Oryctolagus cuniculus: one gene and its partners. The protein of the gene in region 2 purifies or fractionates together with the protein of the main gene of each other region. This does not show direct contact. Links are inferred from orthologs where the notes say so. Each region holds a gene or a part of one and is shown on either strand. Other genes may lie near its edges. The genes, in order: WASF2, BRK1 and ABI1.

Evidence for each region.
Region 1: the proteins of BRK1 (region 2) and WASF2 purify together in Homo sapiens (co-immunoprecipitation; 3 studies listed by BioGRID and IntAct, with this or other methods). This does not show direct contact. The link is inferred for Oryctolagus cuniculus from reciprocal best matches to the Homo sapiens genes BRK1 and WASF2.
Region 3: the proteins of BRK1 (region 2) and ABI1 purify together in Homo sapiens (co-immunoprecipitation; 3 studies listed by BioGRID and IntAct, with this or other methods). This does not show direct contact. The link is inferred for Oryctolagus cuniculus from reciprocal best matches to the Homo sapiens genes BRK1 and ABI1.

What each region holds. Positions count from the first base shown.
Region 1 is NC_091438.1:144,157,130-144,166,337, reverse strand, and holds part of WASF2 (actin-binding protein WASF2), read right to left. Parts: intron 7,840-9,208; coding exon 7,722-7,839; intron 6,699-7,721; coding exon 6,568-6,698; intron 4,489-6,567; coding exon 4,333-4,488; intron 1,867-4,332; coding exon 1,358-1,866; intron 1-1,357. UniProt on the Homo sapiens protein: Downstream effector molecule involved in the transmission of signals from tyrosine kinase receptors and small GTPases to the actin cytoskeleton. Promotes formation of actin filaments. Part of the WAVE complex that regulates lamellipodia formation.
Region 2 is NC_091441.1:116,683,790-116,693,562, forward strand, and holds the start of BRK1 (protein BRICK1), read right to left. Parts: upstream 6,080-9,773; 5' UTR 5,985-6,079; coding exon 5,867-5,984; intron 1-5,866. Other genes in the region: FANCD2OS (FANCD2 opposite strand protein), read left to right, coding at 7,996-8,065, 9,004-9,548. UniProt on the Homo sapiens protein: Involved in regulation of actin and microtubule organization. Part of a WAVE complex that activates the Arp2/3 complex. As component of the WAVE1 complex, required for BDNF-NTRK2 endocytic trafficking and signaling from early endosomes.
Region 3 is NC_091444.1:103,265,299-103,275,084, reverse strand, and holds the start of ABI1 (abl interactor 1), read right to left. Parts: upstream 6,468-9,786; 5' UTR 6,259-6,467; coding exon 6,142-6,258; intron 5,277-6,141; exon of another isoform or gene 5,157-5,276; intron 1-5,156. UniProt on the Homo sapiens protein: May act in negative regulation of cell growth and transformation by interacting with nonreceptor tyrosine kinases ABL1 and/or ABL2. May play a role in regulation of EGF-induced Erk pathway activation. Involved in cytoskeletal reorganization and EGFR signaling.

The DNA of each region.
Region 1 (9,208 bases), on a different chromosome or scaffold from region 2:
ATGGTCACAACAGCTGGAGCTAGACCGATCTGAAGCCAGGAGCCTCTTCCAAGTCTCCCACACTGGTGCAGGGGCCCAAGCACTTGGACCATCTTCTACTGCTTTCTCAGACCATAGCAGAGAGTGGATTGGAAGAGGAGCAGTCAGGACTCGAACCGGTGCCCATATAGGATGCCGGCACTGCAGGCCGAGGCTTTATCAGCTGTACCACAGTGCCGGCCCCCAAATAAATAAATCTTAAGGAAAAAAAAGTTAGGAAAAGGGAGGAAAAAAAGAGATGAGAAAAAGTGGACAGAGGGACAGAGGATAAGAAGGCAGGACAGTGAAGGCAGGACAGTGAAAGAGGACAGGCAGTGGCTAGCTCCCACTAGGACAGTGATTCTTATTTTCTGGGGCACAGAACTTTTTTGAGAACCTGATGAAAAGTAGGTGTCTTTCCTCAAGAAAAGAATATGCATGCAAACAAATATAAAGCTTAACATTTTTAGGGAGTTAAAAAAAATATCTCAGGTTAAGAATTCTCTACTGGGGCTGGCGTTGTGGTGTAATGGGTTAAGCTACTGCCTGCAACGCTGACATCAAATATGGATTCTGGTTCGAGTTCCAGCTGCTCCACTTCCAATTGGTTCCCTTGCTAATGTGCCTGGGAAAGCAGTGGAAAATGGCCCAAGTTCCTGGACCCCTGCCACCCACATGGAAGACCCGGAAGTAGCTCCTGGCTCCTGGCTTCAGTCTGGCCCAGCCCTGGACGTTGTAGCATGTGGGGAATGAACCAGCAGATGGAAGATCTCTCTCTCTCTCCCTCTCCCTCTTTCTATATAACTCTGCCTTTCAAATAAATAAATCTTTAATAAAAAAAAAAAGAATTCTTTACTTTAGGGGGTGGGCATTTGGCACAGCAGTTAAGACATCACTTGGGACACCCACATCCTATATGGGAGCGCCTGGGTTAAGCTGCAGCTCCGCTTCTGATTCCAGCTTCCTGCTGAAGTGCCTAGGAGGCAACAAATGATGGCCCAGGGACTTGGATCCCTGGAACCCATGTGGAAGCCCCAGATGGAATACCTGGCTCCTGGATTTGGCCTGGCCCAGCCCTGACTGGTGCAGGATATTTGGGGAATGAACCAGTAGATGGAAGATCTCTGTTTCTCTGTTTCTACATCTATCGCTCTACCTTTAAAATAAATTTTAAATTCTTTAAACCAAGATAGAAAGAAATCTGTTCTGAGGCCTGAGGCCTACTCTCTCCTTGCTCTTCCAGTGGAAGCTGGGGAAAGCACAGAGCTCCCTTTACCTCGTCTCCATCAGTTACCCCTGCTCAGGAAGACAAATTTCCAGACCCCCCACTGGGATGTACCTTGACGGATGGCGGAGAGCAGGTCACTGCGGGCATCACTCACAGCAGGCAAGGAGGACTTGGGCTTGGTGGCATCAGAAGGTGGCGGTGGTATAGCAGGCTGGCTGTCCCCACCACTGAACGGGAGAGGTGGGGGCCCTGGGGGCGGGGGCGGTGGGGGTGGCGGAGGGGCTCCACCTGCTGGCTGGGACAAGGGAGGTGGTGGCAATGTTGGGTAGTCAGCTGCCGGTGGTGGGGGAGGAGGTGGAGGAGCAGCAAAATCAGGGTGAGGTGGGAAAGATGGGGGTGAAGGTGGGGGAGGGGTGCCTGGAGACCCAAATCCCATAGGTGGCGGTGGAGGTGGGACACCCATCGGAGGTGGAGGAGGAGGGGCAGGTGGTGGAGCAAAGCCAGGTTTGGGGCCTGGCGGAGAGCCTAGAGGTGGAGCTGGGGGTGGATGGCTTGGGCTGACCATGCTGGATCTTTTGGTTCCAGCCAAGCCAGAACCTCTTTGGTTGTCTGCCGGGTAGCTGAAAAGAAAAAAAGACCAACCATCACTTTCAGTATGCAAACACCCCGCCACCCACCACTCCCCTGACGAGGGTTAGGCTTATCACTAAGTCTCGGTGTGTCTCGGCTGACTATTCCATTTCACTTTGAGGCTCAGTTATAAAGAAAAACTGGGGAACTATTCGCAGATACTGTCAAAGAAATGGGCAGCCCGATTAGGAAAAGAGCTTCTGACCACCAGAAGAGTGCAGTCAGGAGTCAGGGTTAACTCCTGGGAGGACGAGACTCGTCCATCCGCCAGCTGAGCGAGCTCTCAGGTCCTCCTCTAGGCTGGCAGCTCTCCAGGGGAAGGTGTCCTTCTGGAAGCCCAGCTAGGAGGAGTGAGCCATGGGCAGTTGTTTAAGCCTGGAGCCAAGATTCAGAGCGCATGCAAGAAGTAACTGGAATACAAATTCAACCACCATCTACCTACTGGGCTCCATTTCTCAGGCTATTAACATTCACCAGATCTGGTAAGGGCAGGAAATCCAAGCCAAGCGACCAAACCCAAGCAGGATATAGATTTAAGTGACTGCATCTTCAGTGCTCATGTGGGGAAGACTTGTGAGTGAACGAGTCTCAATCTGAGACACTGCAGGGACGGGAAACGAAGCTGCCACATGACTCCTGACCCAGGTTTGAAAGAGGATTAAGGCTACACCTCTCCTGGGATCAGATTTGCTCAGCTGCAGCTGCAAGGTCTCAGGCCATGTGTGAGGCTGAGGGCTTTCTCCCCACCTTTGTATCTGCCCTGCACTAATAGCTACTCCTTAGAAAAGCATCCATCTTGGAATTTTCCACAGCCCTTCAGGCCTCAGCTGCATCTGACAAGGCAACCAGCAGGAAGTGATTTGGGATTAGCAGTTTCAAGGGCTAAGAAGAATGGGGGGAGATGGAGGAGGACAGCACAGCTTCAGGTTTCCATCTGAGGGGTCCTTAGTGTCCAAAGAGTCAGGCATCAGAGAGGAGGAAAGGAAGCGAGCACACAGTGCCATACCAAACACCCCCCAGATCTGTCCGCAGCCATGACTGCTGGCCCCTCCTGTGCACCTGTGCCAGGGAGACGAACAGATATCCAACAGGACAGATCCTAAATTTAATGCCCTTTGTCCCTTTGTTTCATTCTTTCTGGAGATTCTACCCAGAAGCGAAATGAACCAGAAGCCACAGGAGAGCAAGTGACTATCTGCAAGGTTCCTAGACAACTGGGCAAGGCCCCTGCTAACTGTTTCATGAACAGCAGATCATTCTACTTCATTTCATGCTGAGCTAAAGCAAAGTAAAACAAACAAGAGAGGGGGTGGGCCTTTAGCCCGGTGGCTAAGATGCCAGTGAGCATGCCTGTGTCCTATATCAGAGTACCTGGGTTCAATACCTGGCTCAGCTCCTGGCTCCAGCTTCCTGCTAATGTGAACCCAGAGGGGCAGCTATGATGGCTCAAGTGACTGGATTCCTGCCACTCAAGTGGGAGACCTGGACTGAGTTCCTGGCTCCCACCTTTGGCCCCATGTGGGGGTGACTTCAGGCATTTGGGAAGTAGGCCAGTGGAATGGGAGTGCCCTTTTGCCGCTCAAGTGAAGAAAAAAAAAAAAAAAAACAGAAAAAGAAGGTGTTTGGTTTAGTGATTAAGATGCCTCTTTGGACAACTGCATCTTATCCTAGAGGGACTGCACTTCAGTCCTAACTCTGCTCCTGGTAATGCACACCCTGGGAGGCAGCAGGTGATGGCTCAGATACTTGGGTCCCTGCCACCCATATGGGAAGACCTGGACCTAGTTCCTCATTCCCAGCTTTGGCCTAGCCCTGCCCTGGCTGTTGTGGGCATTTGGAGAGTGAGCCAGTGGATGTCTCTTTCTCTTGCTGCCTTTCAAATAAAGAAAAATAAACAAACATTTCTAAAACTAAAGAAAAAACAAGAAGTTGGTGACATCTATCTTTCCAGGTATAGGCAGCCTGGTAAAACAGTTAAGGCTACAGGCTCAGCAGCCAGCATTGGACCATAATGGGTTAAGCTGCTGCCTACTATGCTAGCATCTCAGCTGCTCCACTTCCGATCCAGCCCCCTGCTAATATGCCTGAGAAAGCAGCAGAGGATGGCCCAAGTGTGTGGGCCACTGTACCCACATGGGAGACCCAGATGGAGTTCCAGGCTCCTGGTTTCAGCCTGGCCATTTGGGGAGTGAACCATCGGATGGAAGATCTCTTGCTTGGTAACGCTGCCTTTCAAATAAATAAATAAATCTTTAAAAAAAAAATAGAGTCAGGAATCAGACTGACTATGGCTCTGTCTCATCTCTAACTGGCTGTATGACCTTAGATAAGTTCACTGACCCTACTGTGTCTCACAACTGAAAGTTATTTCAGTGGTCCTGGCCTAGATTTTGAACCTTATTTTATTCTTAAGTGTTTAACCACTCAGAGTGGATGGAAGAGGAACCACGATTTACCTGAATTCTGCTGGTGGGGGAGGCAAGTTGTCCTCAGAGAAGGCAGGAGAAGGTGAAGAGGTGGAGTCGGCCTGTGGTGGTGGAGGATAGCTGCCTGCATCCATGTTTTCAACTGAGCCAACACAGCCATTCTGGTACACCAAGGTGGGTGAGTACCTGACAAGGAACCCAGTGTCAAAGCTGTCATTTAAAGAGCCCGAGGGGCACACTTTTTTCTTCTTAAAAGATACTACAAAAATGCATTTGATACAAAAGCTATTAGGGAGAAGTAAAATAAGAATATTCTCTACATCTACTTTCTGCTATACTGAATTTTGTTGTAGGAGTAAATATCCTGTTGTTAAATATCTTTCAGATATCTCTGCCTCATTGTTTGTGGAAACAGGATTCGACCCAGATTATCAAACATGCTTTTGCTCTCCAGTACTGGTCTTCTCAAACCCAGAAATTTTTTAAAATTCTCTTCCAAATGTTAGGTGCAGTTGTACCTGAATCCCAAAGTCTGCCTTGTGGCAAAGGGCGAAGCCAAGCCTGAGGGGCTGGCGGACTGCAAACACGTGATTAGCACGCAGCCTGGTTTTGAGGTCGGCAAGCCTCTGGAGTGCTCAAAGGCCAAGGAGGCATCTGATTGCAAAATCAAGCCACGGATGAATGCAGCTTGCTGTGTGGTAGCAAACGTGGCCTCTCTGCCAGGTCTCTTATCAAACGAAATGAGCTGCGGATTAAAACAGGTTGCTAGCTAGGGCTTGCCTCGTGAGAGCCTGCCCCTCGGAGCACTGGGCCTTGGGCGAATGTGCTCCCAGTGAACAACAATAAGCCTCCGACAGCAAACTCCGAGCACTGGTCAGAAAAACACAGCCTGCTCTGTGCCACCTCCCCTTCTTTCCACCATTGCTGGGTCCTAAAAGGACTCATCTAGAACAGACCCCAGGGAAACTAGGGTTGCAGAAAATGAACTGAATTGAACGACACCCTGATGTGGAAAATCCCCAGGCCTGGAGTCCTGCAGGCCTGGCACATCTATTTACAGGTTTACCAGCAGGCACGTCCAGATAGCCTCGCCACGCAGGCCAACTCCAGAGATCCTGGGCGACGGGAAGCAAAACCATCTGTATCACCCCCACTCCACACATAATAGTGGGCACTCTGAAGATGCACGCTCCCTGGCCTGAGAGGCACCGAGCCTATGACAAATGCCTGTCTCAACAGGATGGGACCACAGAACAAAATGGCCCCTTTTAGGGGAAGGTGAAGGTAATGAAGGTGCCCTCGGGGTTGACTTCCCTGTACAGGGAAAGTTCATTTCTCCTCTCCCCATGTTCATCACTCCTTATAACAAATCTCTTAATCCAGAAAGAACAAGTGTCAGAAGTGTCAAGATTTTTAAAAGTCAAGATCTTCATGGTAGAGTTATTCCTAAAAGCAAGAACAACCCAGCTCTTTGCTTTTATCATTCCTAGACACCTGGCATGGGCTGGCACGGTTCTCTGACAGTCAGAATGCCACATACTTGAGGAAAACCGGGGCGACATTCACACCAAGCAGTTACGGTGACTCGGCTTCGAATGTCACACAGGTCAAACACCAGGATAGGTATAAAACCAAGCTTTAAACCATTTTCCCCCTTTAAATCTCCAGTGTGATTTGGTGTTGGGAAATGGGGTCAGACTGACATCTCCCGTTTCTCCACAGAGATATATAGCCTCGGTGCTGGCCCAGCAGCCTTTCCCACACTGTCTCTGAGGTCTGCATTCAGTCCTCAGCCAGCCTCTCTCCCAAGACCGACAAAGGCTGGCTGAAAAGCTGCTCTGGTGACGTGCGTGATTCCACTGCCTGGCTGCCCCTCTCCTAGGCGATGCCCAGCTCGGAGGCTCGACCTTCACATTAAAGCTCTGGAGGCAAAGGGGCCCCAAGACCACTCTGTTTCCCTTTGCAGTCTCTCCTCTGAGGCCCTCTCACACAGCCACGTCTGGCAGAGGAAGGGCACTAGAAGCCATCGGGCTTTCTGCTCCAGACCACTCCAGTCACCTCATTTAAATTGCTGAGTCTCTTGATTTATTTAGCAAGTTTTAATCATCGGATGGATGCACTTTAAAGTAGCTGATTAATAGTGGTATTGATTTAAGCCACACAGCTAGACTTCAGGGGCTGTGAAAGGTGTCGTGCCAGAGCTGTTAGACTGTTGTCCCCAGCCCCTTCAAAGAACGTCACTGAGAATACAAAAGCATCACCTACCCAGAAGGCCCCAGCTTTTCTTTGGACTCCACAAATTCTTGTCCCATCTTCATTTTCTCCCACTCTTCCTTACGGGTCTTGATTTTACGTGGGTTTACATTCCCTCGGTTTGGATTATCTTTCTTCTCTTTCTATAATGAAAAAGAATAGAAAAGCCTTTGCAAAATATTTTCCGAAGTTCTTCATTAAAATCCTACCCATCTTCACGGACACAGAGCCCAGAGATGATCTGCCTAGATAGCATACCAAGTACCTGGAGAATTTATGGAATTACTGGGTTTGGAGTAACCTAGAGGCCATCTAATCCAAATTACCTCCCGGGCAAAATATCTGCTCAGACACGTACTCCAACACCTCTAGCAATCGCAACGCTGCCACTTCTTTGCATAACTCATTCATGGTTTTAAACAGCTTTAATCGTTAGGAAGCTAGTGAACAGCTATTTGTTATTGTCTCATGTATACAAGTCAGTCAAGAGATGAGAAGTAATGATAGCTACAGATATCTGGGACAGACAGAAGGAAATAGTTAAAAAAACAAAACAAAAACCAGTGAAGAAATTTTCAGCCTGTATCACTGCACTAGCCTCTGGCGCTCTCTTGGGCCTCCTGGCAGCCATGCTAATGGGATTGCGAGGTCGCAACTGACAGGTCACACACACACCATCAGGAGTCCAAGCCCAAGCAGAGGGGAGCAACTCCAAAACCTAGGCACCTCCCCTCACCCTGACCCCGCCCAACCAGCAGTGAAGGTGTTAAACCGCGCCTGTCGCCAATCAGCTACTACAGAACCTTGTGCTCATCTCTGGGAAATGAGCTGCAACACTGGTGGGGAAAGGCCTAGCCTGGCTCGAGTGTCCAGCAGAGTCAGGTGCAAATTGCAAGAGAAATAAATGGTGAATAGAAAAGTCAATTTCTAAAACTCAGCCTGAATATACTCAATTGTTAATAGCGCTAGGGGGAACAAACACATTTTTGGTATGATTTATACTTTCATCTTTGTGGTGCTTGGTGAGGACACATTTTTTTAAGAGTTTCACCTGGCATCCAAGCAAGCAGCCACCCGGAATCACTTCACATAAGGCTGGCTTCCTTTTTATCCCCCTCCACAATCGTGCCTACTGATGTGCAGAACAGAGGCCCCTCTCCCCTCACCCTGTGCTTTCTCTTCTCTTTCATGATATCCTTGGTGTCCTGCAGCATCTTCTCCTTCCAAAGATCAAAGAAGTATGAAGGGTCGGTGTAGAATTTGAGTGCCTCTTTTCCATCATCCCTGGGATAGAAATGAAGACAAGCAGCTGTCAGTAGACAGATGAGCTCCCAACCAAATCCAATATTCCAAACACCTACCAGTTAACAGTTGTTACACCAAGGAATCAAGAAGTCATTCGAATCAATTGCATATTTCCTCTCCCATACCAGCACTTAAATGCCCCTGAATGGCACCTCTCTCCTCATTTGGCTTTTTAAGAACCTTAGCCTTACTTTTAATTCCTGGTAGAGGGATTTGCATGGTCAGGGCAAGAACAGACTACAACAGCAGGAATTCTGATGATTTCTACTCATTTGCATGGCCACAGACATCTCCCTAAAGGTATCTGGAGAGCCTGGCACAACAGAGGGATTTCTGCCACTGGTTTCCCTTTCCCTTCCAATTCCCCAGGACTCTCCAGGAAATGATAGGGGCTTTCCACCCACCTGAAACCCGGGCATACACATGCAGGATCTTGTGTGTACATACACACACACACACACACACACACACACACCTCAGACATACATAACTGTGCACATGTGCTTGCTGTTACTCCTCTGCACACAGATAACCACAGCACCTCACCTTCTTGTTCCCTCTTAGCACAGCACAGCATCCATACCCCCAACCACAAGGGGGCCCTGGTGAGAACAGATGGTCAGCTGTTTTAAGAACCTAAGACTTATCACTCACTATCTTTAGTAGCTACAAAAGTAATACAGAGTGCACTGTGAGTCATTATAAACTAGTGGCCAAACCCAACGACCCTGGTTGGAATCCCACTGTCCAGAAAGCATGGCCTTCGGGGGGAACACTTATTTTAATATTATTCTGGGGCTGGTGGTGTGGTGTAGCAGGTAAATCTGCTGCCTGCAGTGCCAGCATCCCATATGGGCTCTGGTTCGGTCCCAGCTGTTCCACTTCCAATCCGGCTCTCTGCTATGGCCTGGGAAAGCAGTAGAAGATGGCCCAAGTCTTTGGGCCCCTGCACCCACATGGGAGACCTGGAAGAAGCTCCTGACACCTGGCTTCAGATCAGTGCAGCTCCAGCCATTGCGGCCAACTGGGGAGTAAACCAGTGGATGGAAGACCTCTCTCTCTCTCTCTCTGCCTTTCCTCTCTCTCTCTCTCTGTGTAACGCTGATCTTCAAATAAATAAATAAATCTTTTTTTTAAACTGTAAGACTTTACAGTAACTCTTGTTCTGAAGGAGATACACCACTGCTTTCTTGCTTCTGTTAAGCCAACTCCAGATACCTAAGAAGAGACGCTAATTCTGCTATTGTATGTTACAAAGGAAAATGCCATTAACTGACAAAATTCTCTTCATGTCATTTGTTTATTCCATCCTATGCAACACATCAGCTGTGTGATCCCATCCTGTCTC
Region 2 (9,773 bases):
CTGAAGCGTCAGCATCCCATGTGGACACTCGTTTGGGACCTGGCTGCTCCACTTCTGATCCAGCTCTCTGCTATGGCCTGGGAAAGCAGTGGAGGATGGCCCAAGTCCTTGGGCCCCTGCACGTGCGTGGGAGACCTGGAGGAAGCTCCTGGCTCCTGGCTTCGGATCGGTGCAGCTCCGGCCATTGTGGCCAATTGGGGAGTGAACCAGTGGATGGAAGACCTCTCTCTCTCCCTCTGCCTCTCCTCTCTCTGTGTAACTCTTTCAAATAAATAAATAAATCTGTTAAAGAATTCATACTGTCAATCTTTAAAAAAAATATATGCTTGCAACAGTCAGGGGAGCCTGACGATGGCCAGAAACCTAATCCAGGTCTATCACGTGCGGGTGGGCAGGAACCACCAAGGGTGAGCATTCACAGGAAGTGGGAAAAGGCAGGAGAGCTGGGATTCCCACCCAGATCCTTGTATGAAATCCAATATCCCAATCCAGGGTCTGAATTGCTGGGCCAAACGTCCACCCCATTATCCTTCTAAAAGTCACTTGATTTACATGTAATTTACATCCACGCAGAAGTACACAATTCAGTGGTTTGTAAAAATACAGTTAGCATTGTGCAACCATGACCATGAACTGCTCTGTGAACGTTCCCATCAACCCCGATGGAACCTGCATCTGTGCGCCCTCCCATCCGGCCTCGGCAGTTCCAGAAACCACCACCGCTTGAGGCTGAAACTTCTATTCCGGATATTCTTCCTTCTCACTCGTCCTCACCTGCTGGTTGGAGGTCTGGCTGCGCGGGGCTCCTCAGTATCCCTCTTCTCAGACACGACTGCCTAAATGTCTGCTCCCTGGTTCTGGGAGCTCCACAGCACATTATGTAAGCTATTTAGCGACAGCACGAATGTTATCTTGCACAACCTGTCATTTCCCATGACAGACAGACACACCAAAACAATGAGGGGGAGGAAGTGAGAAGGAGGGCTCCTTCCAGGCCGGCACTTCAGTCTGGCTGTCAATCTGGTCACGAATCACACAGCTCAGAACAATGCTAAGGGCGCAGGCGTTCAGACTAGTGGTTAAGACAAGTGTGTCCGGCATCATGAATGCTTCAATCTGACACCCAGCCCTGGCTCCTGACTTCATTCTCCTACTAATACCGACTCTGGGAGGCAGGAGGTGATGGTTCAAGTGATCTGGTCTCTGCCACCCACACGGGAAGCTGGACTGAACTGACTTTGAGCTTCACTTGTGGGCGTCTGGGGAGAGAACCTGTGGATGGGAGTTCTGACCCTCGGCCTCTCAAAACAAGTGAACAAAAAAACCAATCCTATGCTACCGGCCTAAATGAATAAATACTGTTGAGAAGTAGAGGATGTTCAACTCTACAAAGCTTGGTCCTATTTCCACTAAGTATTAACTGGTTCAAATCAAACAGATCAGGAGAGCACGCAGCAGCTGAACAAATCCCACCTACATAATCGCAGAGGACCCCTCTCCCACACTCTCACTGCGTACGTACGACCTCAGCACTACAAACACCGACACCATGTTGTCCCTGAACTGCTTAACAGCAGGTTAAATTTTATTTTTCTAACAAAATTCCACCCTTCTTGGGGCCAGCGCCATGGCACAGCGGGCTAATGCCTTGGCCTGGAGCGCCAGCATCCCATATGGGCGCGGGTTCTAGTCCCGGCTGCTCCACTTGCAATCCATCTCTCTGCTGTGGCCTGGGAAAGCAGTAGAAGATGGCCCAAGCCCTTGGGCCCCTGCACCCATGTGGGAGACCCAGAAGAAGCTCCTGGCTCCTGATCGGCACAGCTCCGGCCGTTACAGCCAATTGGGGAGTGAACCATCGGACGGAAGACCTCTGTCTCTCTCTCTCTCTCTGTGTGTGTAACTGTGACTTTCAAGTAAATAAATAAATCCTTAAAAAAAATTCTACCCTTCTTCCAGGAATGGGCACTACCTCCATTTACTCTTCTTTACTCCTTTCTCAGAACCTGACACCCAGATGGACCACGAGCATGTTACACTTGTTGACTAAGCATTAAAAACCAATTTTTAAGAAATAGCTGCATTTGTTTTCTTTTCTGTTTGTAATTCTCTGCAAGTATTAGCTTTAGAATTGGGGAAAAGTGTAAAAATAGAAAGCTATAATCTGTGACTATTAATTCCGAAGCACAGAGCAGGCCTGGTGTTCAGAGGGCACCGCTGTATCACGATGTGCCTGTCCAGGGATCCACATGCTGACTGCTCTCGCCAGCCGGGCCTACAGGGAGGAAGCTGGTCATAAAGCCATTAGCTCTCCTGGGAAAACAGCTCCCTTTCCAGCTGTGAGGACCACAGGCCTGCTGCCAGGTTCAAAGACCTCCAGAACCTCCTCCTGACTCCACACCACCAATTCACATAAACCCAGGACAAAGCCACATGGCGGGGGCTGAGCACTGAGAGCAGAAAATGCAGCCCACACAATTTCACCCCACGTCATCCAACGCCAAAGCCACGCACTCAAGGCCAATCTGAAGAATTAACCAGTCTCTCAGCCTGTTGTCTTTGTCTAAACTCTTGAATCATTACACTGCCAATCTTCAGGAACTTCCCTCAGACACACCTAAGTGTTAAGTCAATTTGCTTTAAATTTTAAAAAAATGTATTATTAATTTATATTTCATTTCATCTGAAAGGCAGAAACACATCTCCCGCCCACTGCCTCACTCTCCAAATGGCTGCAACACCCAGGACTGCTGAGCTAGGAATGCCCAGCACGTCTCCCACAGCTGGCAGGGAGCCGAGTCCCTGAGCCACCACCCGCTGGCCTCCCAGGACCCACAGCAGCAGGGAGCCGGCACGGAGGGCAGAGCTGGGACCCGACCTCAGGCGCTCCGACACGGAGGGCAGAGCTGGGACCCGACCTCAGGCGCTCCGACACGGACGCGGGGCTCTCCCAAGAGGCCTATCAACCACCGTGCCAAACACCCACTCCAGATGCTTTAAATTTTTTCCCCCAAAGGTTTACTTATTTATTTGAAACGCAGAGGGATGGAGAAAGAAAAAAATCTTCTATCCACTGATTCACGCCCCAAAATGACTGCAACAGCCAGGTCTGAGTCAGGCCAAAGCCATGAGCAGGGACTCCATCCAGACCTCCCAGGCAGGCAGCAGGAACCCGAGTCCTTGAGTCCCCACCTGCTGCCTCCCAGGACCAAAAGCTGCGCAGCTGGGGCTTGAACCAGCCCCCTGACGGGGGCCGCAGGTCGTCCAGCAGCAGTTTACCCCGCGGTGCCATGGCGCTCAGCCCTGCACCCATCGTAACACTGTGCTTATTTCTAACTCTTCAGTACTAAACTCATTCTCTAACATTTTCAAAAACGACACCAAACATCCGGCCACCATCATCATTTCAGTGGAGGACAACAGCCATGAGAAGCTATTTCTTTCTGGCTCCTGAAGATTAAAATTCTGCATGTCCATTTCGTCGGCCTCGGCCCTGGTGGAAATCCCAAACAGAACAGCAAATCCCTCCTCTAACTGAGCAGATGTGACCCCGCCAGAGCGCAGACGGCAAGAAAGCAACACTGTGCCCCTGCACATCCTCCATCACGCCTCCATTTCAGTCAGCCCCAAGACCCAGCCAACTTGGTGGGACTAGGGTTCAAGACAGATACACGATACGACTCTGTGCTCAGAGGTGAACTTACCACACTGCCTAGACCCCAGCTGGAGGACTGAGGGGCTAGACACGTCCACACTGGAAAAGCCGCCCCAGCCAGCTTGCTATGTCCGAAGCTCGGGCGCCTGAACTGACCTTAACCTGGATGAGTACTCGGTGGGTGCGTGTCAGTTATTAAGCACAACCGTATGAACCAAGTATTTTCATTCTGCTTTTTCAGACCAACTTAGAACGTCCCAGGTCAGTGATCTTTCCAACTACTGCCCTCCGAAGTCTCAAAGCCAGGATCCTGTCACCTATCAACCTGACCGGTCCCCTGCATGGAATATTTTGGTTTCTGCCACGTAGTCCTTCTCTAACAAAGGTTTTGCGTGAAGAATGCTGTGAAGGGGCCGGAACCATCATGCAGTGGGTGAAAACCGCTGCCTGCGGCGCCAGCATCCCACCCACTTCCCATCCAGCTCTCCGCTGTGGCCTGGGAAAGCAGTGCAAGACGACCCAAGTGCTTGGGCCCCTGCACCCACATGGGAGACCCGGAAGAAGCTCCTGGCTCCTGGCTTCGGATTGGCGCAGCTCTAGCCGTCATGGCCATGTGGGGACTGAACTAGAGGATGGAAGACCTCTCTCTCTCTCTTTCAAATAAATAAATAAATCTTTGGGGGAAAAAATGCTATGAAGAACCCTTAACATTTCAGTTATCTGGGAAAGAGGAGAACCAACTGTGAGAATAATGAAACATCATACTGAAGCAACTTGTACAGAACTTTACAAATTCTGAGGAAACCCAGAGGAGCCGGGCGAGTCAGTCGGTATTTCCCACATGTTGTCAGTTCACTAAAACCAGTCTTGCCATTTATTTTTTCCAAGACACTGCTTCACTTACGTCCCTTTCACTTCACTGTTTCCCACCAGCCTCTGCAGCACCTCACGCCCTTCACACACACCACGGACACCCACGCCTGGCCCGTCCTCCCAGGAACAGCGCCTGCAGCCCCAGCCTCCGGAGGGAGGGCCTCGCCATGCCCCCACACCTCCGCACGGTCCCCTCCTCCACGCTGTCCCGGCCTCGGCTTCAGTCAGACCCTGCTCAGGGCGGGACTGCGACGCCACCGCACCGGCTGCGGGGCTGGGGCCCCACGCCACTCCCACCCCAGTTCCCCTTTAACGCACACCCCGGGAGCGAGCAGGGGTTCCTGTCACGCGTGAGAGCCACAGGCCGAGTGCCTGGCCCCGCTTCCAGCCTGTTCCGGCCCTAACCAGAAGATGATGACCTCCCCGCCTTACAAATGCAACAGAAGTATCCTTAGAAAGTGTGACCAAGACAAGAGCTCTGAGGGAGGCAAATGGTCCTCCCGTGCCCTCCCCCAACCTCGGAGCCGGCTCCTCGCTCAGCTCTCGCCTCACCACCTAGAAAATAATTCATCCAGGGCTGCCACCGCGGGGCGGCATCCCATACGGGCGCTGGTTCGCGTCCCGGCTGCTCCACTTCCCATCCACCTCCCTAATGGCCTGGGAAAGCAGTGGAGGATGGCCAAGCGCTTGGGCCCCTGCACCCGCGTGGGAGACCCGGACAAAGCTCCTGGCTTAGGCCTGGCCACTGCGGCCATCTAGGGAGCGAGCCAGCGGATGGAAGCTGGGGGCGGGCGGGGGGAACTGACTCGTTCTAAACGCTTCTGCAATGACACACGTGCACGCAGGTTTCTCCCGTTTAACCGGAAGGGCTTCACGTTGCTCAACGAGCAGACAGAAGAACCCTTCGAGGAAACAGGCCACTCTTGCCCTCCGCACCCCGCGCTGGCCGGCCGGGGCGAGGGGCGGCAGAGGGAACGCTCACGGGCTCTCGGGCAGGCCGCGCCCGGATTCCTGCAAGGCTGTCTCGGCCGCGCGAGCCGGGCCCACGGCGCGCCACCTCCGGCGACCTCCCGGCCCCGACCCCAGCCCACGGGGGGCCCGCCGGAGCGCGCGGAGCAGACCCCCCGAGCAGCGAGGGGGCGCAATGGAAGCGGACGCCGCGCGGGTGGACGGGGCCGCCTGGCCGGCCAGGCGCTGCCCGAGGGCCAGGGAGACGCGGGAAGGTGGGGCCTGAAGCAGGAAGCGAACCCCGGAACGCGGCCGCAAGCGCCCCCTCAGGGTCCCCGCCGGGCCGCCGCGGAGGGCCCCCCACCGCCCAGCCACCCCGGCTCGCCCACGGACCGAACGAATTGAGAAAGTCCGCGATTTTCTTGATGCTGCTGGTGATGACCTCAATGTACTCCCGGTTCGCCCAGTCCTGGTGAATCTCCCGCTGCACCGGATCCTCTTGCCCCGCCATGGCGGCCGCCGAAGGAAGAGTGGCTGCGCAGGCGCCGCGACACCCGCCCCCCCACAGGCAGCCAGTGCGCCTGCGCCCCCAGGCCCAACCCGCCCCGGGCGCGCACGACTCCACGGGCTTCGTGATGCGCCTGCGCAGCGTCACGTCCGCGCCTGCGTTTGCACCCGGCGCCCACGCCGCGGAAAGCAAAGCGGCGGCTCGGGGAGGAGCGCTGTGCGCCTGCGCAGGGCGCCGCACGCCCACGTCCGGCGGGCCGCTGTGGGCGTTAGGGGCCGCGTGGGCTTCCCTCGCGTCCGCCCAGGTGGCCGCAGCGATACGCCGCGTTCGCCGAGGGAACAGAGCCTGATCGTACTCGGCGGCGGCGGGGGCGAGCCCGGGCCGCTCAGGAGGAACTCTGTAACGGAGCGGTTACGTAACCCAGCGCTTTTGAAAATTACGGACACAGACCACTCGAGGCAGAGATGCGCTCTGTACCCTGATCTGCTGCAGCCGGCCGAGGCGATAATAAAATACTATACTGTCCTTTAGATGCTAACTAGGAGCACCTGGCAACGGGAACGGGGCGCACTGGAGAAACCGAGGGGGAAAACGATGCACATTTTTAATAACTGCCACTAGGCAAAAATCATGTCTGATAGGTGGGGACGAGTGTAACCCCAAACCAGTGCGGGGCTTGTTAAGGCGGTGGAATAACGTGCAATTTTACCTTTGTCTCAAGGAGTATTTTCTGGTATGCAGAAATGCCTTTGATAAAAAGGAAAAAAAAAAGCGGAGGGATCCGTGTTTCTGGCAGTCACGGGGAAGACCCCAGTGCGCACAGCCCTTTGATTCCTGGACGCCTGTAGAGATGTGTCTGCAGCTGATTCTCACGGGACCCGCAGGGTCGTCGCCGGCAGGTGAACCCTGTCCCGCTGACTGTCCACGTCTCCCTGGACCCTGAGAACGGCAGGAGGCCTGTCCGAGCTCCCCTGTAGTCACACAATTTCCTAAAGCAATAATACACCCGGCCCGCGCTGCCCCAGCCAGGTGAGGCTGTGGTCCCCCTAGCTGCCTGTCCCAGGGAGCGAAGAGACCTGCTCTCCCCTAAGGCAGCATGGGTTAAAAGAGGAGCCACTGCCCCCTTTAAGAGGTCGAGGGGAAGAGGGGCGAGGAGGGGGAGACAGGGCCCGCATCTGCTGAAGTCCTCGAGTGCCCACGCCGAGCTTTGAGCGGGGAACCCGGCCCAGGGGTGTCATGTGCATGGCAGGAACCCAGTCGCCCGAGCTGGGGCATGGGCTGAATGCCGGCCTCCCACCCCTGTGTTTTTGTTTTTAATTTATGAGCCACACACAGACCAAGGATCTGCCAGGCCTCTGAGCCGCTGTGGTCTCCCGAAGCCTGACCCCACCTCAGCCCCTCAGCGCGTCTCCATCCCTTCACCTGCAGGGCCAGACGGTGACCCTGCTCGCCAAGCGCTGACCGGGGAGGGGCAGGCGGGCACCGGCCAGCCCGCGGCAAGTGCGCAGTGCTTCCACGCCGACCGGGGAGGGGCAGGCGGGCACCGGCCAGCCCGCGGCAAGTGCCCAGTGCTTCCACGCCGACCGGGGAGGGGCAGGCGGGCACCGGTCAGCCCGCGGCAAGTGCCCAGTGCTCGCTGCCCCGCGCTGGGCTGCAGCTGCCTGACACCGCGCAGCTGTGCAATGCCCGCCGTCAGAGCCGGCGCATCACTCCCACTGGGATGACCGTGTCCGCTCTTCAGCTAAGAATGGCACCGAACCGTGTGCAACAGGCGGGGAAGCCCGGGGCGGGATTCGAACCAGCTCCGGGCGTCCGACGATGGGCGGAGAGGGGCTCCCTGCCCGCCGGCCGCCTCGAGCCCTGCCCGCCGCCCGTGGCTCGGGCTCCCCCGCGGCCCCGGGTCACAAAGGCGGTTGCCAGGAGCCCCGCGGAGGAAAGATGCGGCTCGGAGTCGCGGCCGCCACTCTGGAGCGTGCGGACCGCGGAGTCCAGCAGGTGAGCCGCCGCCGGCCCGATGGTGGGACCGGGCCCGGCTCCCGCAGCCGCCTGCGCCTCGGCCGGAGCCGCCTGGCCCCCGCCCCCGGGTACGGACGAGCGCCTCCTCCCGCGGGGTTTCGGGGGGCCCCTCCCGGCGGGGACGTCGGGGGACAGAGTGTCCGGTTTTGTCCGGGAGGAACAGACTTCCGGGTGGCGGGGACGGGGCGAACCATCTTGATTTAAACCTCCGGCGAAGGGGTCGAGACCTCGGCGGGAAGTCGGTTCTGCCCTTTGCAAAGCCTTTCATCTCCGGCCCGTGTCCGGCTGCGGAGTCAGGAATAGGAAACTAATGGTCCTCGGCGCAGAGCAGTTGAAGCCCCCCACCCCGCCCCGCGCTGCCCGGGGTCCCCGCCACCAGGGTGGCCCCGGGGGCGTCCGCAGGATGACCGCGTCTGTCTCTCCTCCCAAGGCGGCCGGACGCTTGAACACCAGTGCTTGGGAAGGGCAAGCACAGACCGTGGGGACACCCCCGCTGGGCAGTCCGCCAATCTGTATACTAACCACCCTCAGGGCGGGTCTTTGGGTCCAAGATGTCACCAACAGATCCGCTTGAAAAATGAACGGTACTGCCTCACAAACTATGGTGGGAGCGTACTGGGAGACCCACTGGGCAGAGCACACCTCTGAGAGACCTGGTCTTGAAACAGGCCATCTCAGAGGTGTAGACTCTATCATTAGCAGTCCCAACCCCACAAAGTCCCAGTCGCAGACCCGGCCATTCCATTTTAGACAAATCCATTTCCTTGTCTGTAAAATGAACTAAAAATCCATCTTCAGAGGCCATCGCTCAAGTTTAAGTCTTAGTACACACAGCAGTTGCGTTGCCTGATTCAATACCTGTTCCTGTCCCCTAGTGCCCTTCACACACCCTGACTCTGGGCCTGTTTGCGGGAACCACAGAGCCAGTGTCAGCCATGGCACAAAGGGATGTGTTTGAACTACCAAAAACATGCCGAGAAACTCTGTTCTCATTCCTCTCCTTTAGGACTCGCAATGGCAGGATACCAGCTCTGGTCACCATGGACCCCACTGGACGAGAGCTTCCAATGGCTGCGGCACACGACACCTACACCTTCCTCCAAGCACCCGTTTAGGGCCTCCCCCTGCCTCCCGCACACCCCTTCTGACCTTGAAGTGCAGCTGTGTTTTCAAGAGGTCACTCTGGTCCTAGACAGCCCATTCCTGGAACCTGGAGTGAGCCCCAAGTTACCGTGTCACACATCCGAGCTCCGCACGATGAACATCAAGAAAGGGCTCGTCAGGAAGCCCCAGCCTGTCCGCCTCAGTGGCGTGGACTCTGTCTTTGGCAGGGTCATCACAGCTCAGCCACCGAAGTGGACCGGAACCTTCCGCGTTTCAGATAAGTCCGCCTTTTGCAAAATCATCAGCAGGGAGCACCAGTGGCCCACGGGGCTCAAGGAGCCCCAGATCGAGATGACAGTGACGATGTGTAAACAGATGCTGCGCTCGATCCTCCTGCTGTACGCGACGTACAAGAAGTGCACCTTCGCCTTGCAGCACTCCAAGTAAAGGGTCCCGCTGACCCAGCTCGCCACGGCGGCCCTGCTGTGTCCACACAGACCCCGCTGCGCCATTGCCCTTCTGTCAGGCGCCGACAGTTCAGGAGCTCCTCCCTTGTGTCTGGTGACAGAGCCAGGGAGACCATCTCCACGGCGAAGTTAACAGCCGTTTGGGGTCACACTAGCACTGACTTGTTCATGGGATAAAGAACCAATAAACAAACCATATACACAA
Region 3 (9,786 bases), on a different chromosome or scaffold from region 2:
ACAGCCTTAAAAATAGTCAGCATTCTCTCTGAGACTATTATTGGCAAGAACGGATACTATTGCTACTATTACATGGTATAAACATTCCTAAAACTGATACATTCAGTCAGATCCTGGTCTACTCAACCCAGTATCATGCTTGACAGCAACATTTACAAGCATGTTATGAAATGGTATAGGGCAATTTAACAATTAACTGAGGATTTCCCTCAGTTATGTAAACCACTACTTAGTTAATTTACATTTCCAACCTCTATATCTAATTTTGCTAGCAAATGTTTTATTTAAATTGCAAAGTGCAATTCTAAGTATTCTAATCTTCCAGCCTGTCTTAATTTCTTCAATCATTTTGACTGTCTTTCCCCAAACCTGGAAATCAAATTTACCCAAAATATTTCAGGAAAGATTTTGTTAACTTCTATTAATTCTACAACTCTTCTATGTAGAAATAGTATGTTATAACCCATGGATTCTGTCAGTGAGATACAGGTCTGGTGCTGTGATGTAGCAGGTTAAGCCTCCACCTGAAGCACCAGCTTCCCATATGGGCGCCAGTTCATGTCCCAGCTGATCCTCTTCAGATCCAGTCTCTGCTTATGGCCTGGGAAAGTAGCAGAAGAGAGCCCAATTCTCAGGCTCCCACACCCACATAGGAGACCCAGATGAAGCTCGTGGCTCATGGCTTGAGACCGGCCCAGGTTCGGCCATTGATGCCATTTGGGGAGTGAACCCATGGATGGAACTAATCTCTCTCTCCATCTCTCCCTTCCTCTCTTTGTGTAACTCTGCCTTCAAATAAATAAATATTTTAAAAATGCCTTTCAAATAGATAAATATTTAAAAAAAGTGAGATACAATTCCTGATTGCCAATTACTATAGGACCAAACAAAGATTTTTTCTTTTCTTTTTTTATTCACTAGTAAATTTCATTTCTGATTAAAAATCATCTTTTTGGGGCTGGTGCTGTGGCACAGCAGGTAAAGCCACCACCTGTGATGCCAGCACCCCATATGGGCACTGGTTTGAGTCCTGGTTGCTCTACTTCTGATCCAGCTCCCTACTAATGCACCTGGGAAAACAGCAGAAGATGGCCCAAGTGCTTGTGCCCCTGCACCCACGTGAGAGACCCGGAAGCAACTCCTGGCTCCTGGCTTCAATCTGGCCAGCTCAGATTGTTACGGTCATTTTGAGGGTGGACCAAAAGATAGACAATCAATCTCTCTCCGTAACTCTGCCTTTCAAATAAATCCTAAAAAAGAAAAAAAAAAAAAAAAAGGCTTATCATCTTTAAAAAAAAAAAAAGGTACAATCAGCAGACAGTAACACAGTAGATGCTCAGTAACAGAAGTAACTATACCACCCTCTACTCTTCTATTACCCTCCCCCCACATTCTTTATTTTTATTAAGAAACAGATGTCTTTAAAAAAAAAAAATCTTAAAATTTATTTTGAAAGAATAACAGAGGTTTGAATCCAGGCCTACGAAATATTGAACTCTAGGGGCAGTGCTGTGCTGTACTGTTGCACCATCTGCAGTGCCAGCATCCCACATGGGTGCCGGTTCAAGTTCTGGCTGCTCTTCTTCCTATCCAGCTCTCTGCTATGGCCTGGAAAAGCAGTATAATATGGCCCAAGTCCTTGGGCCCCTGCCCCCATGTGGGAGACCCAGAGAAGGTTCCTGGCTCCTGGCTTCAGACTGGCCCAGCTCCAGCCATTGAAGCCATTTGGGAAGTGAACCAGTATGGGTGGAAGACTTTCTCTCTAACCTTCTCTCACTCTCTCTGCTTCTACCTCTCCCTAACTCTGCCTTTCAAATAGATAAATTAAAAAAAAAAATATATTAAACTTTCGGCTAGATATTTAACATCTCTAAATCTCAGATTGTTCACCTCTTAGGGAAAAAAAATCATAATTTATTGTTATAAAGTGGCTTAAACTGCACAGAACCAGAAATGCTAGCTTTTACCTATTCCAAAGTGCTGCTGCTCAAAAATTACCTGCTTTCCAAGATCTAATGTGGAAAATCAAGCAAATGTCACAGGAAGAATAAAACAAACTAAACTAGGGCCGGCGCCACACTCAATAAGCTAATCCTCCACCTGCGGCACTGGCACACCGGGTTCTAGTCCCGGTCGGGGCGCCGGATTCTCTCCCGGTTGCTCCTCTTCCAGGCCAGCTCTCTGCTGTGGCCAGGGAGTGCAGTGGAGGATGGCCCAGGTGCTTGGGCCCTGCACCCCATGGGAGACCAGGAGAAGCACCTGGCTTCTGGCTTCGGATCAACGCAGTGCACTGGCTGCAGCGGACATTGGGGGGTGAACCAACGGACAAGGAAGAAGGAAGACCTTTCTCTCTGTCTCTCTCACTGTCCACTCTGCCTGTCAAAAAAAAAAAAAAAAAAAAAAAAAAAAACTAAACTAGGTAGCTCACAGTAGCATGTGACTTTATGCTCCCAAACCTTAGAACCTACTTGTTAATCCAAATGAGTTCCTGTTGATGGAACTACAAACAGAAAAATAAAATTTAAAAGTCAATCAATGAAGATTCTCCTGTCCTTAGCCAGCCTGGCAGTGCACATACTGAGAAACCTTCCTTAAGCAGCTTCTACTCCTGTTCTCTTAGCTTTCCTTCCTGTTTCCCAAATAGTTTCCCGTAACAAAAGCGGTATGAGGGCTGACACCGTGGCTCACTTGGTTAATCCTCCGCCTGCAGCGCCGGCATCCCATATGGGCGCTGGGTTCTAGTCCCAGTTGCTCCTCTTCCAGTCCAGTTCTCTGCTGTGGCCCGGGAAGGCAGTGGAGGATGGCCCAAGTGCTTGGACCCTGCACCCGCATGGGAGACAGGGAAGAAAACTCCTGGCTCCTGGCTTTGGATTGTCATAGCACCGGCTGTAGCAGCCATTTGGGGAGTGAACCAACAGAAGGAAAAATTTTCTGTCTCTCTCACTAACTCTGTCAAATAAAATTAAAAAATAAAAAAAAGTGGTATGAACACTTTCGTAGAGCAAGGAGAACTGGCTAGATGATACTCATCCTTGACATAATCCACCAGAAAAACTCAGTCTGGGCATATCAAACAAAAGATGAAAAAAGGAAAAAACTTTCTCCATGTCTATGTAAATGTTCCTATAAAAACACTTCTACTCTTAGTACTCTATTTGCTTCATAAGTATTTATTTATCTGAAAGGCAGAGATAGAGAAGGAAGGAATCTGCCTTGTAACAATTTTTAAATCCTGTCCTTGGAGGCAGCCCTCTGGCCCAGCAGGTCACCTCTGGTAGAGGTGTCTACACCCCTCAGTGGAGTGCCTAGATTCAACACCTGGCCAGGCTCCTGTCTCCAGCTTCCTGCAGTGATGGCTCACCTCGGAGACCTGGACCGTGTCCCCAACTCTCAGCTTCAGTCCTGAGCCCAGGGCTATTTCAGGCATGGAAAGGACACTAGCAGATGGAAGCTCTATTTTGCTCTGTCTCTCTGCCTCTCAAATAAATAAAACTTTGTCCTTTTTAAGATAGTAGAGTCTTTTGAGAAATTTTACTATTAATAATACAATTTAGCAGCTAGAGTCAATAGAATCCAAAGAGCTAATAAACTGCTCCAAAGATTCAATTGTACTGCAGTCAAAAGAACTTCCAGCTAAGCGTTTTAACTGAACTGGACTGTACTTTCAAACTGGAGGAAAAGTAACAAAATGAAAATTGAATTCTCAGGGTAAGAGAAATCACCATAGTAACTGTACATCAACTGGGTATTAAAAACTGCTCAAAACGCAAGTGACCACATACTTGTCCTGAGAGGCAGTAGATGGGGACACTTCAAAAGGTTTGTGAAGAAATGAAAAGATAATTTTATTTTGGTGCAAAAAAATTCTAAATTTCTAAAATCCTAAATTCTAAAATATAACTGTTTCATGAAGATTCCTCATATTTACACAAGGTTTTGGTTACAGTTAGGGCCATGGAAAGATTATAAAAGATCTCAATAGACAGTCGAATGAGTATTTCTAGTAATACTTGTTCCCCCATAGCACCAAAGTCAGCAGCACCAAAGTCAGCAGCACCATCAACCACATCAACTTCTACATCATTTCCTTACTTGTGTGAGTTTGACTCTGAAACACTTCAGAAGGCAACTAGTGGCCTGGTTTCTACAGCCCAAATCTAAAGGCTACAAGGTATTGAGAATTTCCCGTTTAACAGTAAAATCAGAACACCTCACTGCTGTCAGCCTTAGGAGCACCAAGAAAATTTAGGGTCACTGACAGTGCCTCTTGACACCAGGGTACTATACTTGTTAAAGTGAAAAATTACATGAGAAATGATGTAGCTTGATCTTAAGGAGGAAAGCTAGCAATGAAGTTCTAAGGTGCTTCAAAGTTACACGCTGAGCATAGCAAGGGGGGGCAGAAAGCATGAGAACATATACTACCTGAAAAAGAAATAGTCAACAGACAGGTTAAAACAGGTTTACAGCTACCAACACTTGCCAACACCTAGCAGTTACCACACCATATACTTGTAAGATTTCCCAACATGCAAAACAAAACTACACCACCCTTTTATGAAGGACTTGCTGTAGTCTCACAGAAAAGAAATGCCTTTTCTAGCAAAAGAGCCATCTAACTTCCTGGACTCTCTCGTTGACTTTCAAAATCTCTCAAACTTCCAGCAAATGAAGGTTCACTTCATTTTCAATTCTTTTCACATTAAACTGAATGAAAGTCACATATTTTTAATATCAACAAATGACAAAATCACCTTTCTATTTGCAAACTACAACATTTCTAATAGATTTAAAAAAATTAAAGACTGAACATAAAGTTTGCAAAAATAAGTAATAAAGTAGACGTGGCAGGAGTTCAACAACTGCATTTATCAGAATTCCCAAAGTAAAAGCTTGGGGGAAAAATGATGAAGATAAGTTCCTAGCAATGCTACTGAAGATACAATGTCACTAATATGAAAACTGCGAAATATTCAAAATATTTTGGAAACAGTTTCTCTCTCTCTCTCCAAAACACAGAGGCAAAGCATTTGCTAACACTGGGGCTACCGGTTCTTAAAAATGATGAATTTACACGGCAGCTATTCCCATACATGCTCTCGTTCGGAATTGCAGTAACCCTGCCCTCACGGAAGCACGTTCTGGTCTCGCCTTACCGATACCAAGTGCGTTTCTGGGTCCCATTACAACCACACAAAGGGCTCTGCTACTTTAGGAGCTTCCGAGCAGGCGGCCGGATCACCCCGATCCCTACACCGAACCACCGCACGCCCAGACGTTAACGTCAACCCAGACGAGCGTGTGTCACTGACGAGGCTCGAGACTTTCCTGAGACACTGGCGTCTGCCCGGTGGCGGGTCCGCCTCCCGGCTGGCCAGGGAGAACCCTCGGCGAGGCAGCGGCCGCCGGGGACACCCGGCTTCGTCCAGTCCCTCACGGAACCCGCAGCGGAAGAACTTTTTTGGGGTGGCGAGGGGTGGGTAAGAGAACGAGCATCAGAAGACATTTTCCCCCGAGTGGCTTCCCCCACTCGGGTCTCCCCGCGACGGGCGGCCCCCCACGAGCCCTCGCCCCACGCCGGGGAGGCGGAAGTGAGAAGGGCCGAGGCGGGGGACGAACCCCACCGGAGAAGCGCCGGGCGGCCGTCGATTAAAGGAATCTGAAGCTCCACTTCTCTGCCCCCCACGCCCGCTTCCTCCGCTCCCCCGGGGAGCTCTGCGTACTGTGACTCATGACAAAAATTTTTTTTTCCCCTTTTTAATAAATAAATAAAAGACACACCCTCTGGGCCGGCCTGACACAACCGCCCCCACCCCACCCTCGGCCGACACACACACACACACACACACACACACACACACACACCCGGCTTCTCCCTTCCCCGCGGCAGCCGGGGGCCCGCCGGCGGGGACAGCGCGACCCCCGGGGGGACGCCCGGCGGCGGCGGCGGCGGCGGCGGGCTCCCGGCTCCCTCGCCCATTTTCTCTCTCGGGCTGCAGCCACTTCCTGTATGGCAGCCCGACTCCCTCAGGCCGGCCACTCGCGCTCCCCCGGGCCGGGGCTGAGGTCGGGGCTGAGGTCGGGGGCTGAGGGGAGGGCAGCTCCCCCCCGCCGCGCCCCCCGAGCGCCCGCGCTCCTCACCTGTATGTAGTTGTTTTCACAGTAGTCCGCCACCCGGGTCAGGTTCTGGTAACTCTCTATCAGCGCCCTCTTGCCAGACGGGATCTCCTCCTCTAGTAACATCTGCAGCTCTGCCATTTTCCACCCCTCCGCATCGCTTCCTCGCGCGTGAAAGAGACAGGGGCAGCAGGGTCCGCCGAGGCTCGCAGCACCTCACAGCCCGGATACACACCGCCTACCCGCCCTCCCGCCTGGTATTGTGGGACGGCACCACCGCCTCTTCCTCCTCACTCTCTCCACCCGCCCTCCGCCCACTGCGCGCAGCCGCCTCCACGTCTCGCGAGCTTTCATTTCTCTGCGTACCACCCACCACCACCACCGTGGGCGGGGTTTCTTTCGCACGGTCTTATGGGAGTTGTAGTCCCGTCAGCTCGGCTTCCCCGCCAAGAGCGCATGCGTCCAGGGAATCCCGGACCGCCAACCCCGAGGAACGTCCAGAACGCCGTCGGGGCGTGGTGGTTTGAAGCCCAGAATTTCCTCCCAGCTCCGCACGGTGGCGCCTGAGAGCGAGGGTGTTTGCCAGAGCCGGGCTGTGTGAAACTTGGAGGAATTTGGTCAATTACGAAATGTCAGTGAATCGGAGATATCCGTTTAAGTGAGGAAACTCCAAGTCTTTATTTCCTCTGTCTCCTTAGAAATAGCGCGCGACTCGGGCTTTCCTTCCTAAACTTCCGCCTCCACCAATTCATTTAAAATTTAGCAAACGTTCATTGATGGCCAGTTTGAGGGTGCGACTCTAGGGAGGAAGCTACTGTGTTCCTGTGGAAACTCACAATTTTTATATTAACGTACATCACTTGTAGCGCTCTCCTGCACTCCTCGGTTTTTTCTCTAACGCTCCTTTGCCTGTGTCTTCCTAAACTTTTAAACTCATCAGTTCCTTATTTCTTTTGGTTGCACATAGTCATTTTTGTTTTTATCATCAATTTTTTTGGAAAAGTTCAAACGGCCCTATATTTCAGTACAGTCAGTACATAAATACTTTTGACATAATGGACCAAGAAAAGTGTTTTCCTGAGGCCAAAGACGAAACGAAGATAATGTGAAAGTCCATATTTTCATGTCTCTATGAAGACACTTAGAACCACAATATCTAGAGTAGTAAATATAACTCAACCAAATTAAAAAGTTTCTGGGATGGCTTAGTGTGCTAAGCCCACATCTACAGCGCCAACATCCCACATGAGCAGCAGTTTGAATCCTGGCTGCTCCATTTCAGATCCAGCTCCCTGCTGATGGCCCAGGAAAGCAGTAGGAGATGGCCCAAGTCCTAGGGTCCTTGACATCCACGAAGGAGATCTGGAAGAAGCTCCTAGCTTCAGAATGGCTCAGCTCTGGCTGTTGCAGCCACTAGGGGAGTAAACCAATGAATGGAAGACCTCTCTCTCTCTCTCTCTCTCTCTCTCTCTCTGCCTCTCTCTCTCTCCTCTCTCTCTCTTTCACTCTCTCTCTCTAACTATACCTCTCAAGTAAATAAATCTTTTTAAAAATAAATAAAACAGTATGTCTTCATTTGATCCAATAATAAATGAGTTTGTAGGAATAAAACCACAAAACAGAGACCGGCACCGTGGCATAACAAGTAAAGCCGCCACCTGCAGTGTCGGCTTCCTATATGGGTGCCTGTTCAAATCCCGGCTGCTGCACTTCCGATCCAGCTCTCTGCTATGGCCTGGGAAAGCAGCAGAAGATGGCCCAAGTCCTTGGATCCCTACACCCAATGTGGGAGAGCTGGAAGAAGCTCCTGGCTCCTGGCTTCAGATCAGCCCAGCTCTAGCCATTGTGGCCATTTGAGGAGTGAACTAGCAAATGGAAGACTAACTCTCTCTCTCTCTCTCTCTCTCTCCTCCCTCTCTGTCTCTGCCTCTCTGTTACTCTGCCTTTCAAATAAACAAACCTTTTTTAAAAAATACATAAAGCACAGTACCATTCTCTAACAGCTTTCAACTTTTATTTGACACAATTCAAAATAAGAAATAACAATGTACAATGACCTATAATATATATATGTATATGTATAAAATGTATGAGATAGAAAAGTTTCACAAAACTAAATGATATACTCTGATATTTCCTATTCTATTTCATGTAACACTAGTAAAGATCATTAAATTGACTTTATGACCTACAGAATATAAAGGACTTATATCCTTAGAACATTGAAGATAAACAACTCTCAACCTAGAATTTAAATGCAAGCAAATGTCATTCAAAGGATGATCATGGAGCTGGCACTTAGCCCAATGGTTAAGAGTGCCTGAGTTTGATGCCCATCACCAAATCCTGACTCTAGCTTCCTGCTAATGGGCACCATGGGAGGCAGCGGTGATGGTCTCCCTCTCACGTGGGAGACCTGGATTAAGTTCCCAGCTCCTGACTTTCACCTCGCCCAGCTCCAGCTGTAGTGGGCATTTGGGGAATGAAACAGTGGACACGAAATCTGTTTTTTCTTTTTCTTTCTTTCCTTCCTTCCTTCCTTCCTTCCTTCCTTCCTTCCTTCTTCCCACCCTCTCTCCCTCCCTCCCTCCTTCCCTCTCTCCTTCCTTCCTCTCTCTCTATCCTGTATACTCTCTCTCCCCCTCACAAGTGATTTTCTTTTAAACAACAAATTAGATTTCAGAAAAATGTAAAACATTTGTGTTCCAAAATACACTGTTAATGGAGATACAGACACACACATACACACGTGTGTGCATATATATATATGTTTACCCTGATTTGAACACTATACAATGTATTCAAAACATTCCATGCTACCCCATAAATATGTACCATTTTTATGCATCAGTTAAAATGCATTTTTTAGCATACACACACTGTTAAGAAAATGAAAAGGCAGCTGTCTTCCTCAGTCCCTGTGGTATACGCTATTGTGAGCAGCACAGTCTCTCAGGACATTCTTTATGAGGTGGTACAAAAGTCCTGCATGGAAGCTGAACACAGGCAACAGAAGTTGTTGCAAACAGGGGTGCTGCAGATGTCCTCAAAGAACCACAACTCTAAAGCAATCACTTAGGTACCATCAGACTTAACCCTCTACCCCAAGTTCTTTGTGAGTGCCCTGGAGAACAGCAGTGTGACAAGGCAAAGGCTGTGGATGTTTCCAGCAGGGGACATCAAGATGCTGAAAAAACTCAACAATAAGAAGTTAGTTGAGAAGATAGACAAAGAGTAGATGCCTTCTTGAACTCAGAGTCTCTAATCAAACAGATTCCATTAATCATGGACCCAGGTTTGGATAATACTGGGAAGTTTCCTTCCCTGTTGACCCACAATGAGAACATAGTGACCAGAGTCAATGAGATAGAAAGTCCACGATCTAGTTCCAGCTGAAGCAGGTGCTGTATCTGCCAGTGGCCACTGGCCATGAAGAGATGACAGACAATGAGCTTGTCTATAATATCTACCTGGCTATCAACAGCCTGGTGTCCTTGCTCAAGAATTGGCAACATCCAGGCTTTGTACATCAAGAGCACAGAGCATGTACTAAAGACACATACTAATAAATTGTAGTGAAACCCAAAAAAGAAGAAGGAAAATGAAAGGCAAATCACAGACTGGGGGAAAAAATCTGAAAAACAAATATCTTACTAATCATCACATATA